Linked DNA regions of Kluyveromyces lactis. The protein of the gene in region 2 binds, or shares a complex with, the protein of the main gene of each other region. Links are inferred from orthologs where the notes say so. Each region holds a gene or a part of one and is shown on either strand. Other genes may lie near its edges.

Region 1 (2,225 bases), on a different chromosome or scaffold from region 2:
TGATCGTGCCAAATACATGAGATATGCTACCTGGAATCGGGGTTACTGTTCTGTGGTTCTGCCCTTTTTTCTCATTCATTCATCTTACTGGTTCAATAAGGACTTCTTTACAATTTTTCTTTGCACTGAAATGAATTTTATATTGAACTAACGAATACAATACCACGTAAAAGGGAACACGGTAGCTACCAAGTGCTAACGGACCATCAAATACGCCGAAAACACTCAGATCAGGGTGATATAACGTACTGTCCGGAAAGTCTTACTTAAAAATATATTATAGTATTTTATTTTTAACTTATTCTTTCTAAATAATAGTGCAACAACTTCGGAGTATTGTGACCATGAATAAAACCACGCATACTCCTTCGCTAAAGCGCCAATAATAAATTGATTAATATAAAGATTGACTGGAAGTCAGGATTCAACACTGGGTGTAGGCCATTCTTCCATTTCTTGACCTGGTCTTGGAATTAAATATATATATTTGAAACAAACAGATTTCTCAACAAGAGAAGCAAAGAACATATCTTCCTAATACTGTTGCTGTGCATTTTCGTTCATTCGTTCGCTCTTTTAACATGGTAATAACATAAGGGAAAGTGAATATGGGATATTTTTGGACGTATCTTGATAATAAAATAATTAACGAAAAAACCTCTCGGGATTTCATTCATTCATTCATACACAACGTAACAGTTCTTAGTTCTTCTTAGCCTTAATACCCATGATAGCATTTGGAATGTATAGCAATGGAGCAACAAGGGCCACAGTAAACAAACCCCAGAATGGGTACAAGTAGAAAGCCGATCTTGGATGTCTAGACCACAATGGCTTAGAAGAGTGTTGGAACAGCTTTTGTAGTTCAATAATTTTGCTTGGAGAAGGCATCGTTCAATGTTTGGGGCTATGATTAAACAAATGTATTGGCAATCGATGAACAACAAACAAAATATACAAATACTATGAATCAAATCGAAAACTGTATTCACCAAGTGTAAACTAACTATCATAACAGTTTATTTCTTCCAAAATTTTTTTTAATCTCAGTATCTGATATTCCCCTACTGGCTTTCGAGTGGTGTGAAAATTCAACTTCCCTCTAAACAGCGAAAACTCCATAGGCTGGGAAAAGATACGGGGACATTCAGGGTAACTGCGGGGTTGTTGCACGTGATGGTGGTTTACACGTGACTTTTAGTATCGTTAGAAGGTTGTACAAGGTGTATATACGCTGTTATTGTTACTCATCAGAGTCTAGGACTATGAGACGTTTCTTACGCGCGGAGTTGTTGTTGTTGTTGTTGTTGTTGTCTTGACTATGAGTGAGACGGATGGTGTGCGGTTCTAGTTCGTCGTTACTAGTACTTTCGTCAAGGGAGTCACCACTCGCGTATCCATCGTCATTATGTTCGTAGAAATCACTGTCGCGAGATTCGTTGTCATCGTCATCTGAGAGGGCAACAGATGCTCTACGGAACTTCCGTTCATCTTTCAATTCTTGTTCCTCTTCCTCTTCTTCTTCTTCTTCTTCCTCATCCACTATGAACGAATCTATCGATCCTCTATCTTCCTCTTCCTCCTCTTCTTCTTCTCCATGCATAAAGTTCCTAGGCCGTCTTGTGGGCCATGCCTGGTCCATCTCTGAACTGAGACTCTCATCTCCCTCTTCGGCTTCCAAATCGTGCACAGTACGTGCACTCTCGGCTCTATAATTGTCCAAATCTCTCTCAACCTCTTCCAGTTCTCCGTCAGAGTACTCATCCACATCAACTTCGTCGAAGTTCTGTGCACCCGCATTATAATTCCGTATCGTAGCATTGCAGTTAGGACACACGGGACCCTCAACTTCCCATTGGCAATTGCTACACCTTGCTATCCCATCGTCATCATCGTCTATGATGGCTTTGGCAGTATTCTTAAACACACTGTTGAATAGCGTTTCTTCCAACAGGTCAGACTTGTATTCAGCAACGGAGCATTCTCTTTGTGTGAGCAGTGATCGTACTTCGGAGGAATTCGATTTCTGTGGGTCCTCCGCTGCTATATCTAGCATCAGATCGACTATTTGTTGTAAGGCAACGTTCAACGATGGTTCATTGGTAATCACATTTCGACATTGCGGACACGTTAATTCTGATACGTTGGATCGATTGTTGTTCAACCAGTTATTCAAACATTCGTAACAATAGTTGTGTCCACAGCTCGTCATGACTGGTACAAAC
Region 2 (2,938 bases):
GCAGAGTAAAGTGTATTAGTGATTATTTACTGATCAGAAAAGCGGTGATTGACCGATAACTTAAAAAGATCCAGATTCCTTATAAAACTAACTTCATTTGTTAAGATATAAAGAAGAATATAAAACATAAAAAAAAACAACAAAACAAAAATAAAGAGAAAATATTACAGAATAAATAATTAGGTAGCATCTGTGTAAGATAGTCTAAAGGGAGATAATGAAATATAAAGAATAGTTAATGAATAAATATATATAGGAAAATAAAATTTAATAACAATAATAAAATAAAAAGAAAAGAATAATCAATATTAACAAAAAGAGAGCGAGGAAAAAGATATATAACGATTATAAATAAAAAACTAGTGTCTTATTCTTAGAGTTAAGTACCACTTCGGATATGAGGGATAATAAGAGGAGGGGGGGGGTTTTTTTTTTTTTTCACCCTCCCCCCCCCCCCCAAAAAAAAAAAAAATGATAGTACGCTACGAACTATTTTTTTAAAAAAAAAAAAAAATCCCCCCCCTCCCCCCTGATGACATTGGGCTTGTACTTCATATTATTAATAGTCGTCATAATAAATAAATATATCTAGGACACATTATAATATATTTGACGGGGGGCTTTTTAGGATATACTTGGGGGGGTGCCACGGGTAGTTCTAATTCCCCGGCAATCCTATTTAGGATTGCCGCGGGCAATACTTATAATAGTATTATATTAATATTATATTATATATTTATTTATATATTTAATATAAAAAAGGTAAGAATATTATTGTTTAAAGATATTCTTATATATTGTACTGATGAGTTATACACCTCATCAGTAGAATACAATATATAAGAATAATCAAATGATATCTAAAATATGGCAGTACAACACTGTTGTTTCATAACCTACATGATGAGTAGCTGTTAAATGATAGTTTCTTAATCTTCAATAATTAATACCTAACATTGCTGCTAACATAACCATATGTAAGAAATGTAATCCTGTACCAGCATAGAATACTGATCCATATACACCATCAGTAATTGTGAAAGTAGCATTAGTATATTCGATATATTGACAAGTAACAAAAATAACAATTAATCAGAATGTAATTAATAATCCTGATAATGCATTTTTTCTATTACCACCTACTAATCCATGATGACTATATGTAATAGTAGCACCTGAAGATAATAAGATAATAGTATTTAATAAAGGTAATTCTGTAGGTTGTACAGCTTGAATACCAACTGGAGGTCATACACCACCTAATTCAATATTAGGGCTCATAGCTGAATGGAAATAAGCTCAGAATAATGCAGCGAAAATTAAAATTTCTGATACTACGAATAATAAGAAACCTAAATTAATACCTTTTCTAACAGCAATTGTATGATCTCCTAAATATGTTGCTTCAGCAATAATATCTCTAAATCATAATGTAGCACTTAATGTTACTGTTAAAATTGATAAATAAATTAAATACATATGTCCAATATATCCATGCATAGTTAAAGCTAATGATAATGCTAATGACATTAATGCAAATGATACTACAATTGGTCATGGTGATGGAGCTACTAAATGAAAGGGAAATTGTTGATGTCTACTTCTTTCTAAATGTGTCATAAATATTTTTATAATCTATACATTTATAAATTTAAATGTTAATTTAATTTATAGAAATAATATTACTTAATATATATATATAATATATATATATATGATAATATTTATATTTTAATATAATTATTATTATATTATACTTACTTATAAACCCCATTGCGGACTCCCCCCCCCCCGAAGGGAGGAGTCCGCAATGGGGAAAAGTTAATTATGAAAACTATTTATATATAGTATATTATTAGTAATATTAAATATATATCTAGTATCGCCAAATACCCCTATAATAGGGGTATTTGGCGATTAATAATTATATTATTATATATAATAGATCTATATAAATAAATACAATTCCCCGGACGCCTCGTCCGACCCTACGGTCGGACGATGGCGTCCGGGGTTTATATATCGATTCCCCCCAATCTCATAATATGAGATTGGGGGGGGGGGAAATAAAATAGATTATCTCTTTAATAATAATTATAAATAGAATATATTATCTTACCCCGCGGATCCTCTACTGGTATTACCAGTAGAGGATCCGCGGGAATTTATCTCTTTCCCGCGATATCATCATATGATGATATCGCGGAATATACATAATTTATAAAATATATAATAAATATTTTATTTTATATTTATAAGTAGTAAATATAATAAACATGTTAAATTTTTTAATAATTTAATAATAATATATATATAGTTTTATATATATATATTATACGATCAATATATATAAATAAATATAAATACAATGAATAAACATACAACAAATTTAAATATTATTAAAAATATTAATAATATAAACAATTTAAATTCTATAAAAGAATTATTATTATTATTAAATAATAAAAGATTAAATAGATCTTTAAATAAAACTTATATTTGAGATTATTTAAATGAATTAAGTAATAAAGGTGTAAAATTACAACATTTAAATAATATTAATTCTTGATCATCTCAAATTTATAAATTTAATAAAACTGAAGAAATTAATAATACTATTTATGATAGATTAGTAACTAAATTATTAACAAAATTATTAGTATTAAATATTAATAATAAAATTTATAAATTAATTATTTCTAAACCTATCTTTGAACATAGTATTAATAAAGTTAATATTAAATTTTTCTATTATTTATCATATAAAAATATTAATAAAAATATTAATAATAACAATAATTTAATTAATAATATTTATAGTAATTATAAATTTAATATTAATAGTAAATTAATTAATTTATTAAATAATAACATTAATAGTATTAGTAATATTTTATCATTATATTATAATAAAGATGTATCATTTGAACCTATTCAA

What was found.
Region 1: the proteins of COX3 (region 2) and COX7 are in contact, whole or in part, in a cryo-EM structure (PDB 8DH6), measured with the Saccharomyces cerevisiae proteins. The link is inferred for Kluyveromyces lactis from reciprocal best matches to the Saccharomyces cerevisiae genes COX3 and COX7. Residues at the interface, in NP_009328.1 of Saccharomyces cerevisiae: Met18, Pro19, Ser20, Pro21, Trp22, Val25, Phe28, Ala29, Ser32, Leu35, Ser36, Leu39, His42, Gly43, Tyr44, Ile45, Gly46, Met50, Leu53, Phe56, Val57, Thr60, Ser61, Leu64, Arg67, Asp68, Ala71, Glu72, Thr74, Tyr75; in NP_013983.1 of Saccharomyces cerevisiae: Ala2, Asn3, Val5, Leu8, Gln9, Phe12, Gln13, Leu19, Trp20, Arg22, His23, Arg25, Ser26, Tyr29, Leu30, Phe33, Ile36, Phe37, Val39, Ala40, Val41, Thr43, Pro44, Leu45, Tyr47, Ile48, Ala51, Gly54, Ile55, Lys56.

Annotation. Positions count from the first base shown.
Region 1 is NC_006038.1:767,918-770,142, reverse strand, and holds COX7 (cytochrome c oxidase subunit VII), read right to left. Parts: upstream 892-2,225; coding exon 703-891; downstream 1-702. Other genes in the region: AIM39 (Aim39p), read right to left, coding at 1-18; ubiquitin-protein ligase PSH1, read right to left, coding at 1,244-2,225. UniProt on the Saccharomyces cerevisiae protein: Component of the cytochrome c oxidase, the last enzyme in the mitochondrial electron transport chain which drives oxidative phosphorylation.
Region 2 is NC_006077.1:37,221-40,158, reverse strand, and holds COX3 (cytochrome c oxidase subunit 3), read right to left. Parts: upstream 1,621-2,938; coding exon 811-1,620; downstream 1-810. Other genes in the region: VAR1 (ribosomal small subunit protein), read left to right, coding at 2,354-2,938. UniProt on the Saccharomyces cerevisiae protein: Component of the cytochrome c oxidase, the last enzyme in the mitochondrial electron transport chain which drives oxidative phosphorylation.